4 linked regions of the Saccharomyces cerevisiae S288C genome follow. The gene in region 3 interacts genetically with the main gene of each other region. Each region holds a gene or a part of one and is shown on either strand. Other genes may lie near its edges.

Region 1 (6,859 bases), on a different chromosome or scaffold from region 3:
TGCCAAGACGCCAACGTTCTTGTCTGGGATGTAGCGCTGGATGTACTCGAGCAGCTCATCTTCTACCTGGGCCAAAGTCTTCTCACTTGCCAAAACTTTGGCGGTGAGACCGCTATTACCGTGGTGCTCAATACACCACTCGTTCATTTTGTTCATCACCTCGGGACCATAATGGATGACGCTCTCATAATGCGAGTCTCCTTGGCCATCGGCCGCTTTGACGGGTGCCAGGTGTCCATCGGTGATGATGCAGCAAATCTCGATAATTCTGTCATTCACGTGGTCTAAACCGGTCATCTCGCAGTCGATCCAGACCAAGGGTTTGAACAGCTTGGTTTTAAGTTCGGGTGTTTGCGCCATTGATTGCAGGTTTTGGATGGTTCGAGGACGTAAGTACTGTGAAACGGATCTTCTGTACAGCGAGAAGAGGTTTGGGCGAGTGCGAGCTACGATTCTTGCCGGAAACAACAACCACTTCATCTTGATCTCTTCTGTTTATTTGTGAAAGCTCCTTTTCTTTTTTTTCATTTTCTTTGCAAATCGAAAAGTTCACACTGATTTTTTATTAGTTCTTTTAAGTGCCCAACTTGACAGGAAAAAGAAACACCCCAAAGGGAATACCAGTGTATGTAAGGCTTGAATTATACGTATGAGCATGCGTTTGATGGTTGTCGTCAGAGCCAGTGCTCTGAGAGTGTCCCAGATGACTACAACCCTTGTATAAAAGTACATCTTCTTGATTATTTATCACGACACACGAGGTGACCGATTATTCAGAATCGGTACCAAAAAAGAAAGAAAATTGAAGGAAATGAAAAATTTTCAATGTATTTCTCGAAAGCCTGGAGTTGATCAAATGTTCAAAAAATAGGGCAGAATAGCATAACACACATCAATAACACCGAGCCAGCATGCCTACCGTCTCCGTGAACAAGCAGCAATTATTTGATCTTCTAGGCAAAAACTACACTTCCCAAGAGTTCGATGAATTATGTTTTGAATTCGGTATGGAAATGGACGAAGACACCACAGAGGAGGCCTTGAAAACCGGGGAGGAGCCGGAATTGAAGCTTGATATCAGTGCCAATCGTTACGATTTGCTTTGTATCGAAGGTATTTCACAGTCGCTGAACGAATACTTGGAACGTAAAGAAAGACCTGACTATAAATTAAGCAAGCCAACCACTAAGTTGATCATCGACAAATCAACGGAGCAAATTAGACCTTTTGCTACCGCTGCTGTATTGAGAAATATCAAGCTTAACGAAAAATCTTACGCTTCTTTTATTGCCTTGCAAGATAAATTACATGCCAATCTATGTAGAAACAGAAGCTTGGTTGCCATGGGTACTCACGATTTAGATTCAATTGAAGGTCCATTCCATTACAGAGCTCTACCACCAAAGGACATCAAGTTCGTACCATTGAATCAAACCCAAGAGTTTACTGGTGACAAATTGATCGAGTTTTATAAATCTCCAGAACAGAAAAACAACATAGGGAGATACGTTCACATTATTGAGGATTCTCCAGTCTTCCCAGTTATTATGGACAGCAAAGATCGTGTTTGCTCCCTGCCACCATTAATCAATAGTGAACATTCGAAGATCTCTGTGAACACCCGTAACATTTTGATTGATATAACCGCCACCGATAAGACCAAAGCCGAGATCGTTTTGAACATATTAACTACAATGTTCTCACGTTATTGTGACGAACCATTCACGGTTGAGCCTGTAGAAATTGTCTCTGAACACAATGGCCAATCCCGTTTGGCGCCAAACTTCAACGATAGAATTATGGATGTCTCCATTAAGTACATCAACTCCTGTCTTGGCCTAGATCAATCCGCTGATGAAATTGCTCATTGTCTAAAGAAGATGTCGTTGCATGCCGTTCAATCAAAGGAAGACAAGGACATCTTGCACGTTGACATTCCGGTAACTAGACCTGATATTTTGCACGCTTGTGATATAATGGAAGATGCCGCTGTCGGTTATGGTTTCAATAATTTGCCAAAGGGTGAGAAATTATCCAATGCCAACTTCATTGCCAAACCATTACCAATCAACAAGGTTTCTGATATTTTCAGAGTTGCATCCTCTCAAGCCACGTGGGTTGAGGTTTTACCATTGACCTTATGTTCGCACGATGAAAACTTTAAATTTCTAAGACAATCCGACAATGGTGATTTAGCTGTCAAATTGGCCAACCCAAAGACTTTGGAATACCAAGTTGTTAGAACCACTTTATTGCCTGGTATCTTAAAGACAGTCAAGGAAAACAGAAAACATTCCTTGCCAATCAAAGTCTTTGAAACCGGTGACGTTGTATTTAAAGACGACAAACTAGAAAGGAAGGCGTACAATGAACGTCACTGGGCTGCCATCTACGTGGGTAAGAATTCTGGGTTTGAAATCATTCAAGGGTTATTGGGTAAAATCATGCAAACTTTTAGAACAGAGTGGATTGCAGACTACGGTGCTGCTGCTTCTGGCAGAGGTTACTGGATTGAAGAAGACGATTCTGTGAAAACCTACTTCCCAGGTAGAGGTGCCAAGGTCATGTTCAGATCCAAAGAAGGCGCTGAGCCAAAGCAAATCGGCCACTTGGGTGTCTTGCATCCTGAAGTCATGATGAATTTCGACGTTCCATTCGCTGCATCCTTTGTAGAGGTTAATGCCGAAGTCTTCCTATAATGTAATGTTCTAACAAAAATTTTTACTGATTTATAAAACTTATATAGATAGATAGACACATATATATATCTATATATAGAAACACAACTAAAGTTTACCATGTTTTATATAATATTACTACCGCTACTGAGTAAATGTTTAGCTTGTACTTAACTTTCAAAGACAGTTTTTTTGATAAACATCAGTACATTTAATAATACATCCATACATTTATGTTAATTTGTTTTTCCTTTCCACCTCAGTGCGCTTCTCTTTTGAAAAAATCCTCAACAGGCCACGCGAACAAATCTTACCGAGAATTTCCTAAAATGTTTCAAACTATCATTTAGCTGCATACAATATGTACATTATTAATTGAGATTAACAACTTTACCTGTACTTTACCGTTATCAAATTATAAACCACCAAAACAACAGATTAAGAAACAATGGCCCCAAACGTATGATACTTTAAAAGGAATCCACGCCCGATTACGAAGTCTATGTTTTACTGTTATTGTAATGATTGATTGTACGCGAATAACAAGGAAGATAGTAAAACCAAAAAAAAAAAAATAAAAATGTACGAAACGAAGAAGCGTCTATGTGTTTAGTTGCTTTTCTGTATTTTAAAAATTCACTACTTGAACATTGAACTCTATATCGACTCCCTTCTTTTTATCCGTTTCTGAATGTTTTTTTGTTTGAGATTGTCATATGTGATTGTTAATAGCAGTAGGCAACTTTGTGGTTTCGGGATTGAAAGAAAATCGTGAAATATTCGTTTTTTACTAACATTACTGTTCTGAAAATTTTTACTAATTTTCAATCTTTAATTTTTTTGATATAGACTTCCAGAAAGCAAAAGATTGCCAAGACCTTTACCGTCGATGTCTCTTCTCCAACTGAAAACGGTGTCTTCGACCCAGCTTCCTACGCTAAGTACTTGATCGACCACATCAAGGTCGAAGGTGCTGTCGGTAACTTGGGTAACGCTGTCACTGTCACTGAAGATGGTACCGTTGTTACTGTTGTTTCCACTGCCAAGTTCTCTGGTAAGTACTTGAAGTACTTGACAAAGAAGTACTTGAAGAAGAACCAATTGAGAGACTGGATCAGATTTGTCTCTACCAAGACCAACGAATACAGATTGGCCTTCTACCAAGTCACTCCAGAAGAAGACGAAGAAGAAGACGAAGAATAAATTCATTAATATTATTTTAAATAGAGCATAAGTTTTGTATAATTAAAATCTTCTAAACCTAATAAATATGTTTAATGAATGATTCAATATCAAAAAAAGAAATCCATTGGGCCCTTAGTGCATTTTTATTTTTTTTTTTTTTTTTTTTTTTTTTCTCTTTCTGAATTAGAGTACATCTCATCGCAGGGTCTCTTTTTGCACGTTTTTGATGTTGCTTATGAGACGCTTTGCCTTTTTAACTTCTTCAGTATATTTTAAATATATACCAATTTATTCACAATATCATTACTCTTCTCAGTTTCCAATTAACATGAATCCTAAAAAAGTGGCCCAATTGCCCGTTCACAATAAATCAACGCTTCCACCACAGGAAATAATCGATCTTTTTAAAATAACATTCTTAGAAGAGCTATATCCAAAAGATCAAGACAATGAAAAGTCACCGTTAACTGAACAAATACAGGCGGTAAAATCTGACCTTTATAACAGAGATTACAATGCTGCTTTCAATAACGACTCGAAAAGAATAGCATATTGTTGTCGTTGGTCACCGTCCAGAGCAACAAGTTACGCATCAGTATTTGCACATTTCCCTGAGCTTCTAAAGATTATCAGATGCGAAATTGATGACAAGGACTCAAATGTGCTCTGCATAGGTGGCGGCGCTGGTGGTGAGCTGGTTGCATTAGCGAGCATATTCACTTTATCGAGAGATTTTTCGTCTAAATTTGCCTCTGCTTTGAAAATAGACAACGAAGTAAACAAAAAGCCTAGAAATTTAAACATACAACTAGTAGATATCGCCGACTGGTCCACAGTTGTTGAAAAGCTAACAGCTACAATAAAGTCGAAATGGCTATATGGTGATTCAGAAGCAGAGTCATTTAACGTCAACTTTACCCACAAGGACTGCCTACAAATGACAGAGCCACAAGATATCAAGATATATCAAGGCCTCGACCTAATAACTCTACTTTTTACTACAAATGAACTATTTACACAGAAAAAAGTGGAGAGTATAAAATTTCTGCAACGGTTAAACGAGAACTGTGCCCCAGGCTGCCATCTTCTCATACTAGAGAGTGCAGGAAGCTATTCTCACATTACCATCAACAACAAGAAGTTCCCAATCCAATTTCTTATCGATACTATCTTAGTAGGCAATAGAAAGGACAAGGGAACGACAGGTCCATGGTCACTAGTATCCGAGAACGACAGTATTTGGTATAGAATGGACCCAAAACTCGACTACTCGATTCCATTGGAAAACATGCGATTCTTTTACCGTCTTTATGTCAAGAACTAACAGGCTTTATGACGTTTTACTGTTCTCTTTTCATTGTTCTTTTCTCGAAGAGTTTAGAAAAATTTTTTTTCTTCTCATCCACACCGAAAAAATATTAATAAGAGAGTTGAAAATTCGATTTGGAATCAGAAATAAAGAAGGGGCCACGATCAAACAAGACTCATTTCGAATAATTGTAAAAAAAAATTAGCACAAAACAATATGACCGTTCCCAGGAATCGTCCCATGGCACCATTTGGCACCATTATCAAATCAAGAATAAAACAACCCCAGTTTTATTGGTTTATAGGCCATTTTTTAACCATCTTTAACTTTATACAATTTCATCTTTCAATCACGTCCAAACAAAACCAATTGTCATGCTATAGAAGATCATTATTTTACATATCCGTTACATATGCCATCGTTCTTTACCAGTTTTTCAAAAGTGACCAGTTAAAGTTCAATTTTACGCTTTTGCGCCAAGAGATGAAGAAATTGGATAATTTGCAGTATTTTGCCATGCTATTCATACTTTTTCTCTTATCACAGTTTAACATCATAATCAGCGGCTCGTTATACAGTCCCGTTATCTTTTCAATCTTTCACTTCCTGAACTATTTTAAGGAAAACCTTTTGCCATTTTTGCCTTTGATACCACTTAATTTGAAAAATTTGTTGAACTCCAAAATAACGGTATTCATCCAAAACTACAATGGATTTTTCTTACAGATGGCGCAAGTATTTGAGATTATCTGCGGCCTACGTGTGGGCCTCTTCTTAGTGCCCTTCAATTTTTTCTTGTTGTTGGTAAGAAGAGCAAACGTGTCGTTTGAGGTAGTGGGTACAATGTTGGCAGGACTAACCTATGTATGGTTTTTCAAATTAAGGTACCTACAAAGTGAATCTATGAGGCAGATATTTAAACAATATGTCCTTAGGTTGGATGCATATGTCAGCCGTACTTTGCCCCCATATTGTTCCCGTTTATGGAACGGCTATAAGAATTTCGTTATGACAGTGTTTTGGAAGATACCTGTGTAGCATGCTCATTTTAAGTATATCTAAATATTATTTTGTATATACTCACACTCCTCTATAGAAAGCAAAAAATTTCAAAAACGTTTGAAAAGCTTTGTTTAACGATACTTGTACTTAATTTTAGAGTCAGTTTCACCCCTCCTCTCCCTTTTCATCTGCCTTTTGGATTTGGATTGTCCCTCATTAGCATTTTTTGAGCGATTATCTGCCTGAGTTTGTTGAGCGCCAGGCATGAACATGTTTTTGAGGCCATATAACTTGTAACCAGCATAGATGGGGCACAATAGTAGACACCACCAAAATTTGAATGTCCTGAAAGCTATAATACCAATGTTACCAAAAAGTGATAGATATATCAAATCAAAAAAATATGATATCAAATTTGTATTGTCGTTCAAGTCTATACCTTGTTTTACTACGCGATTGCCATCATATTTGGGCTTACCGGATAGCACAATGATATACAGAGCAACGAACATAGGAACGTTCAAAGCCACCAGCTTAATCCATTGGCCAATTGTAACCTTACGTGAAATGAATAGACGTACGATAGCCATTCCTAAAAACAAAGAGACTTGCTTGTATAAGCCCTGAATTATTTTTGCATTTGAACTAGCCTGTTTCCTCCCTGCTTTGCCAGCCATTCTACCAA
Region 2 (8,752 bases), on a different chromosome or scaffold from region 3:
GGTACACAGCGGCATCGGGCTGCACTCTGATGACCAGTTCGTTATTTGGAATGTCTTTGAAGACACCCGATGCGACCGCTTTGTACTGCAGTCTGATCTCCACCTTGGACTCATTCAAAGCCTTACCGGCACGCATCATGATGGGGACGCCCTCCCAACGCTCGTTTTCGATGTTGAAAGTCATTGCTGCAAAAGTGACACATTTAGAGTCCTTGTCTACAGTGTCATCATCCACGTAGGCGGGCTTAGACCCGTCCTCAGATTTACCGTACTGGCCCAAGAGGACGTCGTCCGTGTCGATGGGGGCCACGGCCTTTAGAACCTTAACCTTTTCGTCACGAATAGATTCCGGGTCAAAAGACACCGGTCTTTCCATAGTCAAGAGAGTCATGATTTGTAACAGATGGTTCTGCATCACGTCTCTGATTATGCCTATAGAGTCGAAATAGCCGCCACGGCCTTCGGTGCCGAACCTCTCTTTAAACGAAATCTGAACGCTTTGAATGTTGTCTCTATTCCACGAGGCATTCAAAAACTGGTTACCGAACCTCAAGACTAAAAGATTCTTGACCAACTCTTTACCCAAGTAATGGTCAATTCTGTACAACTCTTCTTCTTTAAAGAGGGGCCCCAGGTTTTTTTGCAGCTCCCTGGCAGAGGCCAGGTCGTGGCCGAAAGGTTTCTCTACGATTACACGGGTGATGCCATTCTCTGCGTACACACGACTCTTGATCTGCTTGGCCACCGTCAAAAAAACGCTTGGCGGCAAGGCCAGATAGAAGAGACGGTGTGGGACATCGACGTTGGCACTTTTCTCGAATTTCTCGATCTGCGTTCTTAATTCGTCGAAGCCTTCATCTGTGTCGTAATTTCCCGAAATGTAGCTGACCATCTTGAAGAACTGTTCGACCTTAGAGTCATCGGCTTCACCGTGAGGTTTTTTCAAGTGGGGTAGGACACGGGACTTCAGGTCCTCCTCCATGGACAATTTGGACCGGGCATAACCGAAGATCTTGGTAGATGGATCAAGGTAACCTTCTCTGAAAAGCCCAAATAAGGCGGGAAAAGTCTTCTTCTTTGCCAGATCACCTGACGCACCAAAGACAGATATGACGGTATTTTTTTCGAATTTGACGGGGCCTTCACTCATCTTGCCTTATGTGGTTTTCTATTCTATTGGATTTACTCTTTCTGTCTATACAGCCAATTGGAGAGGGGGAAGGGGGAGAAGGAGGGGTGAGTGGAGAAAAGGGAGAGAGGGGCAGGAGGAAGCCACTTTAGGTGTTATGTGTCGGTATATAGATGAACCCACAGTTTGCTTATATATGGGATAGCCTTGGCGAGTTTTCCGTACATTGAAGAATTCGCCACCCTTAGAAAAGGGGCCACCACACCTTGAGCCAAAAATCCCACATTAATAATATTCCATTTTTTTTTTAGTCATTTTTTTTTTTTTCGTCTCTCTTCCTCCTCCGGCCGAGCCGAAACCGGGCTTTTAGCACCGTTGGAAGCTTGTATCTCCGCGTAAGACCGCCGGAGTATGCATCTTATAGCGGTTTTTCCAGTTCTTTTCCACTATTACGTGGTGCTTCCAGTAGCGCTACTATTATTGTTGTTCTTGCTATTATTTAAATGTCACTATGTACTTGATACACACAGTTTGTGGTGATTTCACGCTTATGTACACGGGTGCAAAACTACACCTTACTTACCAGGTGCTCCCAACAGAGACGAGATCCTTTTCGACGGCCTGCTTGACGGGCGCGAAGACGTACTCTAGCGAAAGCGGGCGGGCTGCCGCCTCTTCTAGCTTGGGTCCCAGGGTTAGAGGATCTACCATTGCTAGCTCCTCTCCGTGACGCTTATTCAGTGTCTGAACCAACTGCTTCCGCTTGAGACTGTTTTGCTCGCCATTGAGTAGGCCACCACCGTTCATGCATGCACCCGGACACGCGTTTACCTCGATGTAGTCCGAGTGGTAGGGATCGGCCGTGGCGGCCGTGGCGGCCGCCATCTCGCGTGAGTTCGCCTTTGGACCTGTTCGTCTCTTCCGCAGAGCGGTGATGTTCCTCTTGCGCTCTGACCCGGAGCCCGAGGTCAGTTTACGCACCAGATTTTGGATGTTTCTAAACCCGGAAAGCTCGCTGGCGGCGGCTATTATGCGATCATCGTGCAGCAATCGGTACTCGACAATGTCGCTGTTTCTACCCTCCAGAACTATCATCTGACTTCCTGGGTGTAGTCGTTGGACAGCCGTTACGTACTGGTAGGCATAGCCACCACAAGTGCCTCCCAGATTCGACGCCCAGTGGACTCGCGGGTCCCATCCCGGCGGTGATAGCCGCCCATATAAACTTGTGTCCTCAGTAAGAAACGACTTGAAGTCTAAATTCAACTCTTGTAACATTGTCACTATTTCACGTGGCGTAATGACACAGTCAATCCCATCGTCAAGCGATTCTGGCCTTGACGCTTCTAGTTTCTTGTCAAAACATGGCATCAGCGACAGATGGTAAAAGGACTCACGCGCGATAGCGAGACTCTCGAACGTAGCTCTGATCAACGAGCCCGTAATTTGCTGAGGCGACTTGACATTGAGCAGCATAGGCACCAACTGCGGTTTGGTCTTTTCCGTGTATATAAGAAATCCCGGACACACAGCAGATAATAGAGGCTTGCGGTCCGCACCGGTATTTTCTTTTTGTTTCTTATGCGCAATGATCTTCTCTACGGTTTTGCTAATCGATATGATTCTGCCCATCTCCGTTCCAACCATATACTTGCACTGGAAATGCTTTTGGAAAAAATTCATCAAACACAAATCGGCCGCCTCCAATGTTAAGCCGTAGTACTGCGCAAGAGATAGTCTGCATTGTGGCGAGACACTCACAACGAGGAATTTGTCTTGCTGCTGCGAAAGCTTCCCCCAGTTTTTCAGGAAAACCGAGTGACTTTGGCTACTCAACAAGATTTCTTCACTAGACGTTATACAACCAGAACACGCGAGGCAGTCTGATAGGGTAATAGAGACCTTCTCCAGTTGGTCTGGTTCCGTGCTCACCTCGTATTCTCCGTTCATGTTAACGTTATCCTTCTTGCCCCCGCTCACCTGGGTAGGTTTGACGCACGCAAGGGCGGGACTGATAAAATCGTTTAGGTCAGACTCGGACAGTAGAGCACTCATGCTTTCTTGTACACTTATCTTGTCACTCAGGAAAAGGAAGCTCCCTCTCTTATCTTTCCAGCTGACAAGACAAGTTTCTTAGTCATCACCATAAAACGCTTTTATCATTTTTTTCTTCATGCGATGAGCAGGGAAAACTGGTAAAAAAAGAAAATAGGAAGTGGAAAAGAAAAAACTAGCGGAAAGGCAGGCAATATGCTTTACAAACAGGCAAATTTTGTCTCTTAATCCTGTGAAGAGGCATCGTATATTCAGTGCTTTTTGAAATTTAGAAAATAGTCGCTTTATTGATTATGCTACATATGTTATTTTGCTTTAGTATGTGTCAAATAGCATGCAATCGCCGGGTAGTGAGTGACACATCCTTTTTTCCCCTCCCACCAGAAAGTCACCTGCTCTCTTAATCAATGGGGTTGCATGTGGTAATCAATTGATAACGCCGGCTGACAAGTCGCCGACGGGCACCCATAAATAAACGATAAATAGCCCTTGCTCTTTTGTTACATGCTTCCTACTTCTGTTTCCCGGTCCTTGTATCTCAAGACGTTTAGAAGCCACCTTTTACGAGCACCACAAATTGTTTTAAAAAGAATGTCCTCTTCCATCGATATCAGTAAGATCAACTCTTGGAACAAAGAGTTTCAATCCGACTTAACCCATCAATTGGCAACCACTGTCCTTAAGAATTATAATGCCGATGATGCACTGTTGAACAAGACTAGACTGCAAAAGCAAGATAACAGGGTTTTCAACACTGTTGTCTCTACTGATTCCACTCCAGTCACCAACCAAAAAAGCTCTGGTAGATGTTGGTTGTTTGCCGCTACCAATCAACTGCGCTTGAATGTTCTTTCTGAATTGAACTTAAAAGAATTCGAACTGTCCCAAGCTTACTTGTTCTTTTACGATAAGTTGGAAAAGGCCAACTATTTCTTGGACCAAATCGTCTCCTCGGCTGATCAAGACATCGACTCACGTCTCGTGCAATACTTGTTAGCAGCTCCAACAGAAGACGGTGGCCAATACAGCATGTTTTTGAACCTAGTCAAGAAGTATGGCCTTATCCCCAAAGATTTATACGGGGATCTACCTTATTCTACTACTGCGTCCAGAAAATGGAATTCTCTGTTGACTACTAAACTGAGAGAATTTGCCGAGACTCTAAGAACAGCTTTGAAAGAGCGTTCTGCCGATGATTCCATAATTGTCACTCTGAGAGAGCAAATGCAAAGAGAAATCTTCAGGTTGATGTCGTTGTTCATGGACATACCTCCAGTGCAACCAAACGAGCAATTCACTTGGGAATACGTTGACAAAGACAAGAAAATCCACACTATCAAATCGACTCCGTTAGAATTTGCCTCCAAATACGCAAAATTGGACCCTTCCACGCCAGTCTCATTGATCAATGATCCAAGACACCCATATGGTAAATTAATTAAGATCGATCGTTTAGGAAACGTCCTTGGCGGAGATGCCGTGATTTACTTAAATGTTGACAATGAAACACTATCTAAATTGGTTGTTAAGAGATTACAAAATAACAAAGCTGTCTTTTTTGGATCTCACACTCCAAAGTTCATGGACAAGAAAACTGGTGTCATGGATATTGAATTGTGGAACTATCCTGCCATCGGCTATAATTTACCTCAGCAAAAGGCATCGCGTATTAGATACCATGAAAGTTTGATGACTCATGCTATGTTGATCACTGGCTGCCACGTCGATGAAACGTCTAAATTACCACTTCGCTACCGCGTTGAAAATTCCTGGGGTAAAGACTCCGGTAAAGACGGATTATACGTGATGACTCAAAAGTACTTCGAGGAGTACTGCTTTCAAATTGTGGTCGATATCAATGAATTGCCAAAAGAGCTGGCTTCAAAATTCACCTCAGGTAAGGAAGAGCCGATTGTCTTGCCCATCTGGGACCCAATGGGTGCTTTGGCCAAATAAATAGTTTCAGCAGCTCTGATGTAGATACACGTATCTCGACATGTTTTATTTTTACTATACATACATAAAAGAAATAAAAAATGATAACGTGTATATTATTATTCATATAATCAATGAGGGTCATTTTCTGAAACGCAAAAAACGGTAAATGGAAAAAAAATAAAGATAGAAAAAGAAAACAAACAAAGGAAAGGTTAGCATATTAAATAACTGAGCTGATACTTCAACAGCATCGCTGAAGAGAACAGTATTGAAACCGAAACATTTTCTAAAGGCAAACAAGGTACTCCATATTTGCTGGACGTGTTCTTTCTCTCGTTTCATATGCATAATTCTGTCATAAGCCTGTTCTTTTTCCTGGCTTAAACATCCCGTTTTGTAAAAGAGAAATCTATTCCACATATTTCATTCATTCGGCTACCATACTAAGGATAAACTAATCCCGTTGTTTTTTGGCCTCGTCACATAATTATAAACTACTAACCCATTATCAGATGAAAGTGAGGAAATATATTACTTTATGCTTTTGGTGGGCCTTTTCAACATCCGCTCTTGTATCATCACAACAAATTCCATTGAAGGACCATACGTCACGACAGTATTTTGCTGTAGAAAGCAATGAAACATTATCCCGCTTGGAGGAAATGCATCCAAATTGGAAATATGAACATGATGTTCGAGGGCTACCAAACCATTATGTTTTTTCAAAAGAGTTGCTAAAATTGGGCAAAAGATCATCATTAGAAGAGTTACAGGGGGATAACAACGACCACATATTATCTGTCCATGATTTATTCCCGCGTAACGACCTATTTAAGAGACTACCGGTGCCTGCTCCACCAATGGACTCAAGCTTGTTACCGGTAAAAGAAGCTGAGGATAAACTCAGCATAAATGATCCGCTTTTTGAGAGGCAGTGGCACTTGGTCAATCCAAGTTTTCCTGGCAGTGATATAAATGTTCTTGATCTGTGGTACAATAATATTACAGGCGCAGGGGTCGTGGCTGCCATTGTTGATGATGGCCTTGACTACGAAAATGAAGACTTGAAGGATAATTTTTGCGCTGAAGGTTCTTGGGATTTCAACGACAATACCAATTTACCTAAACCAAGATTATCTGATGACTACCATGGTACGAGATGTGCAGGTGAAATAGCTGCCAAAAAAGGTAACAATTTTTGCGGTGTCGGGGTAGGTTACAACGCTAAAATCTCAGGCATAAGAATCTTATCCGGTGATATCACTACGGAAGATGAAGCTGCGTCCTTGATTTATGGTCTAGACGTAAACGATATATATTCATGCTCATGGGGTCCCGCTGATGACGGAAGACATTTACAAGGCCCTAGTGACCTGGTGAAAAAGGCTTTAGTAAAAGGTGTTACTGAGGGAAGAGATTCCAAAGGAGCGATTTACGTTTTTGCCAGTGGAAATGGTGGAACTCGTGGTGATAATTGCAATTACGACGGCTATACTAATTCCATATATTCTATTACTATTGGGGCTATTGATCACAAAGATCTACATCCTCCTTATTCCGAAGGTTGTTCCGCCGTCATGGCAGTCACGTATTCTTCAGGTTCAGGCGAATATATTCATTCGAGTGATATCAACGGCAGATGCAGTAATAGCCACGGTGGAACGTCTGCGGCTGCTCCATTAGCTGCCGGTGTTTACACTTTGTTACTAGAAGCCAACCCAAACCTAACTTGGAGAGACGTACAGTATTTATCAATCTTGTCTGCGGTAGGGTTAGAAAAGAACGCTGACGGAGATTGGAGAGATAGCGCCATGGGGAAGAAATACTCTCATCGCTATGGCTTTGGTAAAATCGATGCCCATAAGTTAATTGAAATGTCCAAGACCTGGGAGAATGTTAACGCACAAACCTGGTTTTACCTGCCAACATTGTATGTTTCCCAGTCCACAAACTCCACGGAAGAGACATTAGAATCCGTCATAACCATATCAGAAAAAAGTCTTCAAGATGCTAACTTCAAGAGAATTGAGCACGTCACGGTAACTGTAGATATTGATACAGAAATTAGGGGAACTACGACTGTCGATTTAATATCACCAGCGGGGATAATTTCAAACCTTGGCGTTGTAAGACCAAGAGATGTTTCATCAGAGGGATTCAAAGACTGGACATTCATGTCTGTAGCACATTGGGGTGAGAACGGCGTAGGTGATTGGAAAATCAAGGTTAAGACAACAGAAAATGGACACAGGATTGACTTCCACAGTTGGAGGCTGAAGCTCTTTGGGGAATCCATTGATTCATCTAAAACAGAAACTTTCGTCTTTGGAAACGATAAAGAGGAGGTTGAACCAGCTGCTACAGAAAGTACCGTATCACAATATTCTGCCAGTTCAACTTCTATTTCCATCAGCGCTACTTCTACATCTTCTATCTCAATTGGTGTGGAAACGTCGGCCATTCCCCAAACGACTACTGCGAGTACCGATCCTGATTCTGATCCAAACACTCCTAAAAAACTTTCCTCTCCTAGGCAAGCCATGCATTATTTTTTAACAATATTTTTGATTGGCGCCACATTTTTGGTGTTATACTTCATGTTTTTTATGAAATCAAGGAGAAGGATCAGAAGGTCAAGAGCGGAAACGTATGAATTCGATATCATTGATACAGACTCTGAGTACGATTCTACTTTGGACAATGGAACTTCCGGAATTACTGAGCCCGAAGAGGTTGAGGACTTCGATTTTGATTTGTCCGATGAAGACCATCTTGCAAGTTTGTCTTCATCAGAAAACGGTGATGCTGAACATACAATTGATAGTGTACTAACAAACGAAAATCCATTTAGTGACCCTATAAAGCAAAAGTTCCCAAATGACGCCAACGCAGAATCTGCTTCCAATAAATTACAAGAATTACAGCCTGATGTTCCTCCATCTTCCGGACGATCGTGATTCGATATGTACAGAAAGCTTCAAATTACAAAATAGCATTTTTTTCTTATAGATTATAATACTCTCTCATACGTATACGTATATGTGTATATGATATATAAACAAACATTAATATCCTATTCCTTCCGTTTGAAATCCCTATGATGTACTTTGCATTGTTTGCACCCGCGAATAAAATGAAAACTCCGAACCGATATATCAAGCACATAAAAGGGGAGGGTCCAATTAATGCATATTTAAGACCACAGCTGAATAACTTTAAAACGGCAGACAAAACAAAAAATAGGTCGAATAAACCTTACCTGCCTAGAAGGAATGACAGCAGCTAATAAGAATATTGTCTTCGGATTTTCCAGATCCATTAGCGCAATTCTACTAATATGCTTTTTCTTTGAAAAAGTCTGCGGTGATATGGAGCATGATATGGGCATGGATGATACTTCGGGATACACGAGGCCAGAAATTGTGCAGGCTGGGTCGAAATCTTTCCACTGGCTCTGCACTTTGGGATTCTTGTTGCTTTTACCATCCGTGGTGACGTGCCTTTCGTTCGCTGGCAGGATATATTCAGCTACCCTCTTACAATGCACTTGTGCCGTTTACGCTTTCTTAGAAGCTGCCGTATTAAGATTTCAAGACAATGATGGGGTAGAAAATAGAACTTCAAGGGGAA
Region 3 (8,698 bases):
AATTAAGCCCTTTTGACTGTTAAATAGCAAGTCAAGAGCAGCTATATTTGGTGAGTCTTTATCACGCAGCTGTTCAGGGGGCCAGCTATCACATTCGCAGAAATCTTTGTGGGCAACACTTATGGCTCTGAGAGCATCGGACGCAAGATTTTTGATTTCATCATCAGTTTCTTTTTTATTGTCCTCATTGATTTCTTCCAAAGTATCATCTGAATTCCTCTTGTACGAACAATTCTTGGAAACAATTTCTGCTGCACCTTTAATGAAAAACCTGTAAAATGGTTTTTTATTTTTGCCTTCTTTGTACTTTACCACTAAGCCGGCCCATTTACGAGAACTTTCAAACGGAATTGTTTGAACAACTTTTTCGATATTAAACTTTTCCATCGGTTGATCTCTCAAATATTGCAATTCTCCCGGTTGTAATCCTAATGATAATCTTGCCAAACTGAGTAAGGCTGTTTCCGTTTTAGAGCCAATAAAGGGTTCTTGCCTACCCTTGTTGACATTTTTGAATAATTGATCCTCGTCATCTTCCCTGTTGCCTTTTTTAAAAAACGATAATCTAGATTTACACTTATCTAAAAAACTCAAATTTTTTGACATATTTTTACTACCATTTGTATTTTTATCGTTTTTCTTATAATCTCTGTTTTCGAAGGCGGTAGAATTCAGGACAATATTGGCTAATAAATCATTTCTCAAGGATGACGAACAATTTTCTTCAAAAACTTTCTTAGAATTCAGCTTCCTTTGTTCGCTAACGGGCAACGATTTACTATCATCAAATTTAGAATTGCCCGGGAAGCCACGAACGACAGTCATGACATTTTCTGTCAAAGTGCCAGTCTTATCAGAGCACACTGCAGTAGCAGATCCCATCGTTTCACAGCTTCTTAAAACCCGTACTAAATTACCGTCTTTTGTCATTCTTGTTGTTGCAAACGCTAAGGCCAAAGTTACAGCTAATGGTAAACCTTCCGGAACAGCCACCACAATAACCGTGATAGATGTGATAAAAATGTTCATAAATTTAGAACCCTTTTGAGCGGGATCTAGATCATGGAACCTGCCATCCTCAGGTATTATGTAAAATAAGTACCTAGTGAAAAGGACCAAGAAAAGAATTATAGCAGACACGCAACCGTAAACGGATATATTATCAGCCAATTGGCTCAAATGTAACTGTAATGGAGTACTTTCAGGTTCGGCATTTAATGAAGTCATGGTTTGACCGTAAACTGAGTTTATACCCACGGACGTGATGACACCCCTGCCCAAGCCAGAGAGAATTCTGGAACCTGAAATCAACATACAATCAGCAATCTTGTTACCGTCTTCGTTAACGTCACCTATATCTAATGGTTTGCTATGGTTATGACTATCGATAGAATTAAATTTTTTGAAATCTCTTAATGAGTTATCCACCGGAAATTTCTGTATTGTGTTAGATTCACCAGTGATGGATGATTCATCTGCCTCACACTTCCCTGATATCATAACACAATCAGCGGGGACAACATCACCGGTTTGTAATGAAATGACATCACCGACTAAAACGTGGTGAATGGAAATTAATATTTCCTGATCATTTCTTATGACTATAATTTTACGGTTTTCCTTCTTTTTATTTAGCTTTGCAAATTGCAACTCCTTCTGGTAATCGTTAGCGGCACTCACTAGAACTACCACAAAGACCGCAATCATGATAGCAACCCCTTCAATCCAGTCAACTTGCTTAATTTTATTTCCTTCAGGATCATACTGTGGAGGTTGCATCCATAGTTCGTATAGACCTAAAACAAAGGAAACAACAGCGGCGACTGTCAGTAATTGCATTGTTTTGTCATTAAAAGCAGCCCATACTAATTGTAAAAAAGACTTTGGTATTCTTTCAGGAAGTGAATTATCGCCATAATTTTTATACCGGTTTGTCTTTCGATAATTTGATATTTCTGGAAGAGAAATGCCTGCATTTTTATCTGTTTTCAAGTATTTGAAGAGGCTGTTAGACTCATATCCAAATAATCTGACAAATGATCTTATTGATTTAGGGTTATGAAGATCCGAAAGTTGACTTTTTGATAATTTGAAATTATCGTAGACTCCGTTCTCATTTCCCGTATACGATGGTTTGTTATTTTCATTATTCGCTAGTAAAGCAGAATTTTCGTCTTGTCTAGACATTATTTTTTTTGTTACGCACACAGTTTTTTTTTTTTTAGAACCACTTTTCTAAACTTTATTTGTTCAAGTTTTATTTCTTTAATTCAATGTCGTATATATGTGATACAATTCTCTTAATACACTTAGTTTTTACTGGAGGCGCATGAGTTTTTTGACGTTTTCTTAAGCCTTTCTATTGAATGAAAATTACCAGAAAAGCCCCTTCTTCCTCAAATTTATGAAAAAATGTTTATTCTTAACCTAAGCCTTCTCAATTGAATCGTGCCAACCTGACTAAAATGTAGTTTGGGGAAGTGAAAAAATCTGAAGAGATTATTTAATTTTTCGTTAAGCCTGCAATTTATTTTGGTAATAATTGCTAGAAAGAAATCGAATATTTAACGCAATTCAAATAAAGCCTTTCCTTGGGGGGGGGCTGATACTATTTGAATGTTTTTGGAAGGCGCCCATTAAATGCAATGCCAAGTGGCGATGATAATGAATTATGAAGATTAGCATTTGTTTAAAAAGCGTGGAGGGCGCTTCTAGGGCCTGAGCCTCCTAATTTTCTTTTCCCCCTGACAAATGATGGAGAAGCTTCTTTGCCGGGTAAAAACCCTTTTTTTTTATCTTTTCTGCGGGCGGATAAAGCTGTTAGTGCCACATGTTTCTATACAAACTGTATTAAAGTAAAAAAATTAATAGACAATTTAGGCCCCTCAAATGGGTAAAATAGAACATATATCAGTATGCACAGCTCACTATTTTAAAAGCGGCAGGCTTGGAGCTGTAGGACCACACTACTGCGACAAAAAAAGATAAAGTTGTGTTTTATTTATGTTTTGCCGTAAGATCGATACTTTTCTTATTCTCATCAAGAAAACACAAACTGCCAAGAACTAAGAAAAGAAGAGCCGTAAACAATGCTTGTAAACCGAAGTATGAAAAGAAAAACTTGATAATTAAATCATCCCCTTTGGCTCAAATATTTATTTTGTATTATTCATGCTTGATTAGTTTAAGAGTGAACTTTACTATCTTAATTTTATTTTAGCCTTTTCAGCTTATGGCACAATAGTGAAAACAAGATCATGTTAAGTTCTGTACCAGAAGAGAGAACCGATAAATAGTTTAATAAGCAGATCAATGCCAAGAATAAGATAAAACAACTATGGAGACTGATGTAAATATACTTGAAGCCGGGCAATAATATAAGCACCGTGAGCCGATTCTCCTCGATCCTACACTGCACCATATAACGAATGGTCTTGGACTATGGAAGGCAGTAACCAACAACAGAAAAGAGAGATTAATTAGAAAAAGACATTTCTCGAGAGAAAAAAAGTAAAGACCTTATCGTACAACTGTTACTGACATTTTTATTTTAAGAAGCTAAACCCTTATTATTAGCGCGCCCAAGTAGGCGCAAAACTAGAGAAGTCGCAGATGCATCCACCCACTTTTTGCCTTATTTTTCCTTAATTTCAGAAATATAGTTAAAATGAAAAACAAGGACAAGAAAAGAACGGGAAAAAGAAAAGGGGGATTAGCAAACAAAGAAAAGTCCAATAAAATGATTACAGACAGCATTGGATGCGATGAGATGGCAACCAGCGAGATGAGAGCATAGGATTTTCATCCTAGCTGCTTTAGGGAAGACGCACAAAACTTTGTTATGTTTGTAGTAAATATAGAAAAGAAAACAAAAAAGTGCTCGGACGAATCCGGTAGAGCTGTGTCTAGCCTCAATAAGTTTGCCGCATTTGGTAAATCAAAACTGTTTTTCTCTCCGTCATTTGTTTTGAAGCTTGTTCTGTTAGTTTAGGGAAATAGAAAAAAAAAAAAAGGGAAAAAGAAAGAAATCATATGCCCAATGGAGTACGAGAATTGGGGAAAAAGCCTCCATCGGGTTTTTAAACGGGCGTATACATGCTTACCACACTCCCGTAAGCAAGAACAAAGAATTTATCTTGATAAACTGCGTAATAAGTCAATCAATTGCTCTATATACGCGCATATACGTAAAACACAGAATCACATTTTAGTCAGGCCCAAGCCGTATAGGGCGAAAAAGCCCGCGCTTATCAAGTCATCGTAACGAATCAGATCTTTCCAACTGCTATCGCATACGTAAGAGAATTGAAATATTTCTCGGGTACGATACGACATTTTTTCTTTACATTTCTTTACTAAACCCGACGGCACGGGAAAGAAGATGAGACTCGGAACGGAAGCTAGAAGAAAAAGGAAGGACACAGAGATTTTCCGAGATTAACTCAGCTTTGCTAAAGTGCAAAAAGTCGTTTACGTCACCATCGCTGACGGGGAAAAAACAAAACAAGCTTCCTGAAACGGAGAAACATAAACAGGCATTGCTGGGATCACCCATACATCACTCTGTTTTGCCTGACCTTTTCCGGTAATTTGAAAACAAACCCGGTCTCGAAGCGGAGATCCGGCGATAATTACCGCAGAAATAAACCCATACACGAGACGTAGAACCAGCCGCACATGGCCGGAGAAACTCCTGCGAGAATTTCGTAAACTCGCGCGCATTGCATCTGTATTTCCTAATGCGGCACTTCCAGGCCTCGAGACCTCTGACATGCTTTTGACAGGAATAGACATTTTCAGAATGTTATCCATATGCCTTTCGGGTTTTTTTCCTTCCTTTTCCATCATGAAAAATCTCTCGAGACCGTTTATCCATTGCTTTTTTGTTGTCTTTTTCCCTCGTTCACAGAAAGTCTGAAGAAGCTATAGTAGAACTATGAGCTTTTTTTGTTTCTGTTTTCCTTTTTTTTTTTTTTACCTCTGTGGAAATTGTTACTCTCACACTCTTTAGTTCGTTTGTTTGTTTTGTTTATTCCAATTATGACCGGTGACGAAACGTGGTCGATGGTGGGTACCGCTTATGCTCCCCTCCATTAGTTTCGATTATATAAAAAGGCCAAATATTGTATTATTTTCAAATGTCCTATCATTATCGTCTAACATCTAATTTCTCTTAAATTTTTTCTCTTTCTTTCCTATAACACCAATAGTGAAAATCTTTTTTTCTTCTATATCTACAAAAACTTTTTTTTTCTATCAACCTCGTTGATAAATTTTTTCTTTAACAATCGTTAATAATTAATTAATTGGAAAATAACCATTTTTTCTCTCTTTTATACACACATTCAAAAGAAAGAAAAAAAATATACCCCAGCTAGTTAAAGAAAATCATTGAAAAGAATAAGAAGATAAGAAAGATTTAATTATCAAACAATATCAATATGACTGATACATCATCCTCTTCATCATCCTCTTCAGCATCTTCTGTTTCAGCTCATCAGCCAACTCAAGAAAAGCCTGCTAAGACTTACGATGACGCTGCATCTGAATCTTCTGACGATGACGATATCGATGCTTTAATCGAAGAACTACAATCTAATCACGGTGTCGACGACGAAGACAGTGATAACGATGGTCCAGTTGCCGCCGGTGAAGCTAGACCAGTTCCAGAAGAATATTTACAAACTGACCCATCTTACGGTTTAACTTCCGATGAAGTTTTGAAAAGAAGAAAGAAGTACGGTTTGAATCAAATGGCTGACGAAAAAGAATCTTTAGTCGTTAAGTTCGTTATGTTTTTCGTCGGTCCAATTCAATTCGTTATGGAAGCCGCTGCTATTTTGGCTGCCGGTTTGTCCGATTGGGTCGATTTCGGTGTTATCTGTGGTTTGTTAATGTTAAACGCTGGTGTTGGTTTCGTTCAAGAATTCCAAGCTGGTTCTATTGTCGATGAATTGAAAAAGACTTTGGCTAACACTGCTGTTGTTATCAGAGACGGTCAATTGGTTGAAATTCCAGCCAACGAAGTCGTCCCAGGTGATATTTTGCAATTGGAAGATGGTACTGTTATCCCAACTGATGGTCGTATTGTCACTGAAGACTGTTTCTTGCAAATCGATCAATCTGCTATTACTGGTGAATCTTTGGCTGTCGACAAACATTACGGTGACCAAACTTTCTCTTCTTCCACTGTTAAGAGAGGTGAAGGTTTCATGGTTGTTACCGCTACCGGTGACAACACTTTCGTTGGTAGAGCTGCTGCTTTGGTTAACAAAGCCGCTGGTGGTCAAGGTCATTTCACTGAAGTTTTGAACGGTATTGGTATTATCTTATTGGTTTTGGTCATTGCCACTTTGTTGTTGGTCTGGACTGCTTGTTTCTACAGAACCAACGGTATTGTTAGAATCTTGAGATACACTCTAGGTATTACTATTATTGGTGTCCCAGTCGGTTTGCCAGCTGTCGTTACCACCACTATGGCCGTCGGTGCTGCTTACTTGGCTAAGAAACAAGCCATTGTTCAAAAGTTGTCTGCTATTGAATCCTTGGCTGGTGTCGAAATCTTGTGTTCCGACAAAACCGGTACTTTGACCAAGAACAAGTTGTCCTTGCACGAACCATACACTGTTGAAGGTGTTTCTCCAGACGACTTGATGTTGACTGCTTGTTTGGCTGCTTCCAGAAAGAAGAAGGGTTTGGATGCTATTGATAAGGCTTTCTTGAAGTCTTTGAAGCAATATCCAAAGGCTAAGGACGCTTTGACCAAGTACAAGGTTTTGGAATTCCATCCATTTGACCCTGTCTCCAAGAAGGTTACTGCCGTTGTCGAATCTCCAGAAGGTGAAAGAATTGTTTGTGTTAAGGGTGCTCCATTATTCGTCTTGAAGACTGTCGAAGAAGATCACCCAATCCCAGAAGATGTCCATGAAAACTACGAAAACAAGGTTGCTGAATTGGCTTCTAGAGGGTTCCGTGCTTTAGGTGTTGCTAGAAAGAGAGGTGAAGGTCACTGGGAAATCTTGGGTGTTATGCCATGTATGGATCCACCAAGAGACGATACTGCTCAAACTGTTAGCGAAGCTAGACACTTGGGTCTAAGAGTTAAGATGTTAACTGGTGATGCTGTTGGTATTGCTAAGGAAACTTGTAGACAATTGGGTTTGGGTACCAACATTTACAACGCTGAAAGATTAGGTCTAGGTGGCGGTGGTGACATGCCAGGTTCTGAATTAGCTGATTTTGTTGAAAATGCCGATGGTTTCGCTGAAGTTTTCCCACAACATAAATACAGAGTTGTTGAAATCTTGCAAAACAGAGGTTACTTGGTTGCTATGACTGGTGATGGTGTTAACGATGCTCCATCTTTGAAGAAGGCTGATACTGGTATTGCTGTCGAAGGTGCTACTGATGCTGCCAGATCTGCTGCTGATATTGTTTTCTTGGCTCCTGGTCTATCTGCTATTATTGATGCTTTGAAGACCTCCAGACAAATTTTTCACAGAATGTACTCTTACGTTGTTTACCGTATTGCTTTGTCTCTACATTTGGAAATCTTCTTGGGTCTATGGATTGCTATTTTGGATAACTCTTTGGACATTGATTTGATTGTTTTCATCGCTATTTTCGCTGATGTTGCTACTTTGGCTATTGCTTACGATAATGCTCCTTACTCTCCAAAGCCCGTTAAATGGAACCTACCAAGATTATGGGGTATGTCTATTATTTTGGGCATAGTTTTAGCTATAGGTTCTTGGATTACCTTGACTACTATGTTCTTACCAAAGGGTGGTATTATCCAAAACTTCGGTGCTATGAACGGTATTATGTTCTTGCAAATTTCCTTGACTGAAAACTGGTTGATTTTCATTACCAGAGCTGCTGGTCCATTCTGGTCTTCTATCCCATCCTGGCAATTGGCTGGTGCCGTCTTCGCTGTCGACATCATCGCTACCATGTTTACCTTATTCGGTTGGTGGTCTGAAAACTGGACTGATATTGTTACTGTCGTCCGTGTCTGGATCTGGTCTATCGGTATCTTCTGTGTTTTGGGTGGTTTCTACTACGAAATGTCCACTTCTGAAGCCTTTGACAGATTGATGAACGGTAAGCCAATGAAGGAAAAGAAGTCTACCAGAAGTGTCGAAGACTTCATGGCTGCTATGCAAAGAGTCTCTACTCAACACGAAAAGGAAACCTAATCCTGTTGAAGTAGCATTTAATCATAATTTTTGTCACATTTTAATCAACTTGATTTTTCTGGTTTAATTTTTCTAATTTTAATTTTAATTTTTTTATCAATGGGAACTGATACACTAAAAAGAATTAGGAGCCAACAAGAATAAGCCGCTTATTTCCTACTAGAGTTTGCTTAAAATTTCATCTCGAATTGTCATTCTAATATTTTATCCACACACACACCTTAAAATTTTTAGATTAAATGGCATCAACTCTTAGCTTCACACACACACACACACCGAAGCTGGTTGTTTTATTTGATTTGATATAATTGGTTTCTCTGGATGGTACTTTTTCTTTCTTGGTTATTTCCTATTTTAAAATATGAAACGCACACAAGTCATAATTATTCTAATAGAGCACAATTCACAACACGCACATTTCAACTTTAATATTTTTTTAGAAACACTTTATTTAGTCTAATTCTTAATTTTTAATATATATAATGCACACACACTAATTT
Region 4 (6,952 bases), on a different chromosome or scaffold from region 3:
GGAAAAAGGTCAGGCCCATTGGTTCAGGAAATTTTAGTACCGTACTTTTATATGAACTCATGGACCAAAGCAATCCTAAACTGAAACAAGTGGCCGTTAAACGACTCAAATATCCCGAGGAATTATCAAATGTTGAACAAATCAATACATCGTTACGATATAAGGAAACTTTATCCCGTTTGGAAAATTCTCTGACTAGGGAATTGCAGGTGCTAAAATCACTAAATCACCCATGTATAGTTAAACTACTTGGGATAAACAATCCAATTTTTGTTACTAGCAAAAAACCTTTATGCGATTTGATTATAAAAACTCCAAGAGCTCTGCCGCCTTGTGATATGATTATGTCTTATTGTCCTGCAGGAGACTTATTAGCTGCCGTCATGGCCCGTAACGGAAGACTAGAAGCGTGGCTGATTCAAAGGATTTTTACGGAAGTAGTACTGGCAGTAAAATATTTGCACGAAAACAGTATTATTCATCGGGACCTAAAATTAGAGAATATACTACTGAAATATAGTTTTGATGATATCAACAGTTTTAGGGACTCACCCATTTACTGCAAGCAAAATTTCATTGAGCTAGCAGATTTTGGTCTCTGCAAAAAAATTGAGAACAATGAGATGTGTACAGCAAGATGTGGATCAGAGGATTATGTCTCACCAGAAATCCTGATGGGAGTTCCCTACGATGGCCATTTAAGCGACACGTGGGCCTTAGGTGTCATACTATACAGCTTGTTTGAGGACAGATTACCATTTGACCCTCCTCCAAACGCTTCAGCAAGACAGCGTAGCAGAGCTACGTCACATCGTATTGCCAGGTTTGATTGGAGATGGTACCGGTTAAGCGATTATAAAACTAATGTGGGAAAACAGATTGTGGAAAATACGCTAACGAGGAAGAACCAACGTTGGTCGATTAATGAAATTTACGAATCCCCCTTCGTTAAAACGATCGCTGATACTCTAAGTTTTTCTTGAAATTTCCCACGGATGGGAGTTACTTTCGTTTTCTTTCTTATTGCTTACACCTGATAATCATCCAGCATATAGAAATTGTTCTTTAAATATCACATACAGTTCCATTACTTGACATTTGCAACATAATATTTCTGCTTTTTTCTCTATTTTGCATCCAATATAGCTTCTATCTGCTTACTACTGTCTTTTTGACAATGTACAATATATATCTAAGATAGTTACGAATAAAAATATTTTTATTAATTCCATAATATTTAATTACATAGAGGCAGCCAATAACAAACAGGTAAAGAGTTGTGTAAAGTGCATATATTCGTCTTTTATTCTAAGTTACTCATTCTAGCACTCCAGGTTGATTTGCTCCTCCTTTTAAGCTTTCACTTCCGGCTCTATTTCCTCTTCTTCATCTTCTTCATCGTTTTCTTTGAAATCTCCCATGTCCAAATTACCACCGCTTTGAGCCAATAATTGCTGCAATTGAGCCATATCTGGAGAACCAGCGCCACCAGCACCTCCCATCATTTGGCTGAAGTCCATGCCTCCAGCACCTCCAGCACCTCCAGCACCTCCCATCATTTGGCTGAAATCCATTCCTTGAGCGGCATCATTACCTTCAGCTTCAACTTCGTCTTGTTCATCTTCATCAACCCATTTATCGAAATCAGTTTTGATGTAAGGGTACTTCACCTTTTCCTTTGTCAAACGTGGCCAGTATTCAGATTCTAAATCCTTTTTATACAATTTCAAAAAGTAGTGCTGGCCATTAGCAACCTTATGCATTGTTTTTTCAGGTATAATTTCCTTGTATAGATCAATGTGTAATTGATAATGATGGACATTTTCATCGCCAACATGAGGCTTTGATTGAGCCTTTAATTCGATGTATGATGGCTTAATGGTTAACTCAGGGGCATCACAGTCTGCAATTGACACAGTTATTAAGACATAATTTCTTTCTGGATCAGTAGTACTAGACCTTTGAGCCCATGCAACTTGAGGGTTAATAACTTTATCGGACATGACTATTATGAATCGATGATCTTGGGAACTTGTTGTTGTAATGAATTGAGTCCACTAGGTTTCTCGAACAAGTTAATACATTGCCACCCATTTCGTCTTTTTATGCTTTTTTCCATGCTAATTCTTGCCGCTCCTCTCCGCCCCTTCAAAAACACTCGGAAGGCGGGTAGCATTAAAAGTCGAACAGTTTGTTGGTAACTTTTGTAGGTATATGTGTACCAATAACCACAAATTAAGTATTGATTATCACAGTCAACCTCTTTGTATATCAAAAATTATACTCTGTATTCATAAAAGGCAGTTATTTTAAAAGCAAGTAACGGCAGGAAAAAAATTATTAATAAGTATAAAAAGATTGGACGAGTCCGGAATCGAACCGGAGACCTCTCCCATGCTAAGGGAGCGCGCTACCGACTACGCCACACGCCCTATTTACTGTTAGTGTATTTCCACTTAGATTACTATAACAAGCTCTTTTAAACAATAAAACAGTTCTATAACAACCGATTTACGAAATTCTTCTGAGTAAATGAGGTCACAAATGAACTTTCTTTAACTTCCTCTTTGTCTCCATTCGTTTTTCCATGCTTTTTTTGTTTCTGTCGAAATGAAATCCTTGTATCATCTATTGGCTAGTATTCGTCTTCCTAGAATATTATCACAGCGGTGTAAGATGATGACATAGAGATTGGGAAACAGTTATCGGTCTTAATGGAAGCTGAAATGCAAGGATTGATAACGTGATAGGGTAATGAATGGCAAAGTATAGAAGAAAAGAAGTTAGAGTAATATTATCATGTAGAAAGACCGATTCCATTTTGAGGTTTCCTATACCCTCGAGGGGAACTTTTAGGATATTCTGTGTATCTCATACTATAGTCTTTAACTATGATTGAATCCGAACAATTATATTGTTCACGAAATACTCAGTTTTACAAAAATCTTGTGTATTTAACTGACTCAAAGTAGACATGACGGACGTGTGAATATTTAAAATGAGAAACGAGGAAGCGAAAATAAAGCAAATCTCACATGAAAACGCTGAAAGAAATGAAGAAAAGGTAAGATAGGATAATTGACGATTGGCATCACATAAAAGAACTCTAATGTTCGAAATTAAACTGAATGATAGAATAACTGAATTTCTGCGAAAGTTCAAGAATAGCGCGAAATCAAACGAAGGAATTGATGAGGACATTGATTTGTTCCTGAAGCGACACGCAATACCTATGCAGTCACTTCTTTTTTATGTGAAAGAGTATAGAAAAGACAGTGATCTCCAATGCTCTATCAAAGAACTTTTGAAACCTTTGGAGTTCGAATTCAAGCCCAAGGCCGTCAGAGGTTTACACTATTCAGAGGATTTCAAGAAAAAATTAGAGTTTTTGAAATATCAGGAACAAGAACTTGAATATCAAAGTATGGTCAAGAGAAGCAAGTCTGTCTTTTCACTTCAAGAAGACGATGAACTCACGCCTTCACAAATTAATAAACAGATTAAGGAACAAGTTACCACTGTTTTCAACGTTCTTGTAAGTGTCATATCGGTTGTTGTGGCCATTTGGTACTGGACCGGATCTTCAACAAACTTTCCGGTCCATGTTCGTCTTTTGTTGTGCTTGTTCTTTGGAATATTGGTCTTAGTAGCAGATGTGGTTGTGTATAACAGCTATCTGAAAAAACTCGAAGAAGCAAAAGTAAAAGAAAAAACAAAGGTTGAGAAAAAGAAAGTTCTAAGCAAGATTACACTGTAACTGATCATTTTATAAATAAGAACTCCGAGATCCGAGAGCATATAATTCTTGGAACTGGACAATTGTGAATAATGTTCTGTATGTTTATAATTACGTTTATAAAACTATCGTGTATGAATGTGAAATAAAAAATGCTCTATTATCCTTAATGCTACATAATATGAAGAAAAAGGTTGTAATGAAACCATTAGTAAAGTAGAACTGTCCTGGCCAATGAATGAAACTTCAAACCTCGGAGTTTGTTATGGGAATTAATTATGGCCTAAAACTCTCGACTCTATCGAATAAACTAGTTTCATTGTCTGTTCCATGAAGGTCAAACACATGATTGTATGAGGTGCGATTCTGAACACTTGAGCTGCAAAACCCTTATACAAAGCGGTTACACCTTCGATTCTAACAGTTTTGACCAAACAATCTATAGGTCCCTTGTACAAGTCACCTTTTTGATTATAGATTCTTGTCAAAATGACATCCCATGGGTTCATAACGACGGCAACACCTAACCCAGAGATAGTACTAGCAGTTAAATGTAATGCTGGGCCATCTTTCATCAGATCATTTTTGACCAAAATGTTCTTTGCTGTGTTGTAGATAGGTAGTTGAACAGAGGAACCAGCACCTGTCCTTAAAATTGCCGCATCAATACCTCTGAATAGACCCTTAACACCTTCGGTTTTAAAAATGGTTACTAACCCGTTCCAAACACCGGTGTAGTGCGTTTGTTCACCAATTTTTATAAACTCGGAATATGATTGAAGTCTTGTTTTCACCAAGAATAATGGAGAGCCAATGACTGCACCAATTATACCAGATGCGGCACCAGAAAAGACGTTAACTCCGACGCTCTGTACCTTATGTGGCTCTTGATCTGGGAAGAAAAGCTGATTTAATGATGATCTGATTGGCTCATAAAACCCTAATCTGGAACCATTTAGCCCAATTTGATAGATATAAGCAGCATTTAACCCTTTTTGCAGACCTTTTATACCTTCGTTTTTGAAAATTACCGCCATACCTTGGATTGGATTTTTATAAACTTTTGCAGCTGATGCTGACATTTCACCTTGAAGCTGCATTCTGATTTTAATCAATTCGATCGGATTAGTAACTGTAACAGCTATACATGCTGCTAGCCCACCAGCCACAAACGAACCAAACTTCGATATCTTCTGGGCGGCTGTTTTTTCAATTTGTTTATCTTGTTTAGAGTTGTCAGATGACATATTTGCTTACGATATAATTCGATGAGATGTGCTTGTGTCTGACTTGCTATAGCAATCTAAGGAAAACTATTTCGGATGGAGTTCTGGAGTGGGGGCATTATGGAAGAAGAAAGTATATCTTAATGTTGCATATAATCACATAGTTTATATATATGCAGTATTTATCATTTGACGACTTAGTCACAGCTTGAAATTTCAGCGGTGCTTAATGTTCGTTTTCTTTTTTTTTTTTTTTTCCGCAACAGAAGGCCGATTCCGCTGTAACTTAATGAGGTATTAAATGCCAGATTCGTTTTCGTGACCTCCTTTAGCATATCGGCAGACCCTGACTCGCAACTGGAATAACACCACATGCGAACAAAAGCATATTTTTGCCCTACTTAATTTGAGAGTGGAAAATCTTTCCTCGATTTCATTTTTCTTATAGCCCAATTGACGTCTCTGTAGGCCCTAATAGACCCCATCGGCCTAAGACCGTTTCCGGCATCTTTCGGGTTGTAGATGGTTCTGTGAGAAAATGTGTCAGTAATGAAAAATAATAAAGATCGCTACAGATATAAATAATAATACTATGTTATTTGCAGACATGCTTATGATCTAAAGACGGTGGAACAGATAGTTTTTCCTCTTACTTTCTGATTCTCTATCTGAAATTATTGAGGATTGTACCACAATCAGCACACGTGAAACCGCTATCACCGCCAGCAATGGGGTTTTTGGAAGCACATTCAAAATTAGATCCATTGCAGACGTCACATTTCAACTTCGGATAAGTGGTAGAAACTCTCGGAATATCATGCGGTCCAAACACCGTGGAGCTCGTACTTTCACTTCTTGACTTTAGGGATATAAAACTTCCATTGGATTTATTAAAGATCGAATTCTTGAAAATAGCACTAGCTCTTGATGGCATGCCGGAAATCACCGGGCTATTATTAGGATGCAGCTCACAAAAATCGTGGCTTGGCCTACTATTGTGCGTGTTAGATGGTGGGGTTGTGCTAAACTCATTATCCTCTGTGGAACTTCTTTCATCCATTCTATTTTCCAATATGCTGTCATTGTTGTGGTTGTTGATTTTACCAGCAGCTTCGAGGTGGAATAAATTGTATTCATGGAACTTTTCTATTATTTTTTTTCGTATTTCCGGTAAGATATCAGTTCTGAAAACACGGATTAGACCTTGACTGTCTGTTGTTATTAGAATGGTTCCAACATTATTCACAACGTTCGATAGGTTTGAGCTGAATCCTCCTGTTTCTGTAACTGGGTGATTAGGTTTGTTATCACATGTTTCCTTAGATTCTGAATAATTTTGGCCCATTTCTTTGAAGTACTGTGAAGTCAGTTCGAAAATCAAATCGTTTGACAAGGACAAATTTTTAATTGCAACGTCGGGAGCAATGGAAGCACATGTGACAGGGGAGTTATGGGCATGAAATGATATATAATGATTGTTTTTGATAGCTTGAGAACCAACAGTTTGAGTTTGAAGAACATTTTTTGATGAGTTGGTAAATGTGTGTGAGCTGCTTTGGTTTGACGTTTCTGTCAAACATTCATCATTCGTACTCTTATTAGATACAATTCTCAACAGCCCTTTTAAACTCATACTGCCGCTCAGCCGTTTCTTTCTATGCGGAGCAGTGCAATTCATTTCTGCTGAAAGATTAAAGGACTGCATTTTCCAGGTATAAAACCAATGATCATCACTTCCCGTGAAAACTACAGGTTCATTTTTCATCATTAGGAATTGGCCTCTATGACGTGAGGAACCACTTTGGAATCCTTTAAAAAGCTCTAAAGGTTTTTTTTCATTTAAATCAAAGATTTGAATTTTTGAATCATTTGTCGTAACTATCAATCTTAAATTTTTGTCCACCTTAGAAAAGAAGCATTGTAAACCCGTGATTCGAGGGCCGTGTTGGACCTTTCCATATTCGGAAGATGGATGAAAGCTATTCTTAGT

The links.
Region 1: mutations in PMA1 (region 3) and PER33 together harm fitness more than expected from each alone (negative genetic interaction), as found in Saccharomyces cerevisiae (2 studies listed by BioGRID).
Region 2: mutations in PMA1 (region 3) and KEX2 together harm fitness more than expected from each alone (negative genetic interaction), as found in Saccharomyces cerevisiae (3 studies listed by BioGRID).
Region 4: mutations in PMA1 (region 3) and VPH2 together harm fitness more than expected from each alone (negative genetic interaction), as found in Saccharomyces cerevisiae (2 studies listed by BioGRID).

Annotation. Positions count from the first base shown.
Region 1 is NC_001144.5:260,068-266,926, forward strand, and holds PER33 (Per33p), read left to right. Parts: upstream 1-5,388; coding exon 5,389-6,210; downstream 6,211-6,859. Other genes in the region: REX2 (Rex2p), read right to left, coding at 1-480; FRS1 (phenylalanine--tRNA ligase subunit beta), read left to right, coding at 912-2,699; 60S ribosomal protein eL22 RPL22A, read left to right, coding at 3,127-3,138, 3,528-3,881; BMT6 (25S rRNA (uracil2843-N3)-methyltransferase), read left to right, coding at 4,090-5,187; SND2 (Snd2p), read right to left, coding at 6,306-6,851.
Region 2 is NC_001146.8:196,794-205,545, forward strand, and holds KEX2 (kexin KEX2), read left to right. Parts: upstream 1-5,634; coding exon 5,635-8,079; downstream 8,080-8,752. Other genes in the region: ZWF1 (glucose-6-phosphate dehydrogenase), read right to left, coding at 1-1,150; iron-sulfur cluster assembly protein NAR1, read right to left, coding at 1,709-3,184; LAP3 (bleomycin hydrolase), read left to right, coding at 3,776-5,140; YTP1 (Ytp1p), read left to right, coding at 8,395-8,752.
Region 3 is NC_001139.9:479,410-488,107, reverse strand, and holds PMA1 (H(+)-exporting P2-type ATPase PMA1), read left to right. Parts: upstream 1-5,441; coding exon 5,442-8,198; downstream 8,199-8,698. Other genes in the region: calcium-transporting ATPase PMC1, read right to left, coding at 1-2,187; YGL006W-A (uncharacterized protein), read right to left, coding at 2,575-2,685; BRP1 (Brp1p), read right to left, coding at 4,471-4,848; YGL007C-A (uncharacterized protein), read left to right, coding at 5,081-5,167. UniProt on the Saccharomyces cerevisiae protein: The plasma membrane ATPase of plants and fungi is a hydrogen ion pump. The proton gradient it generates drives the active transport of nutrients by H(+)-symport. The resulting external acidification and/or internal alkinization may mediate growth responses.
Region 4 is NC_001143.9:215,375-222,326, reverse strand, and holds VPH2 (Vph2p), read left to right. Parts: upstream 1-3,109; coding exon 3,110-3,757; downstream 3,758-6,952. Other genes in the region: serine/threonine protein kinase PRR1, read left to right, coding at 1-983; Hsp90 cochaperone SBA1, read right to left, coding at 1,353-2,003; OAC1 (Oac1p), read right to left, coding at 4,009-4,983; DGR2 (Dgr2p), read right to left, coding at 5,627-6,952. UniProt on the Saccharomyces cerevisiae protein: Required for vacuolar ATPase assembly.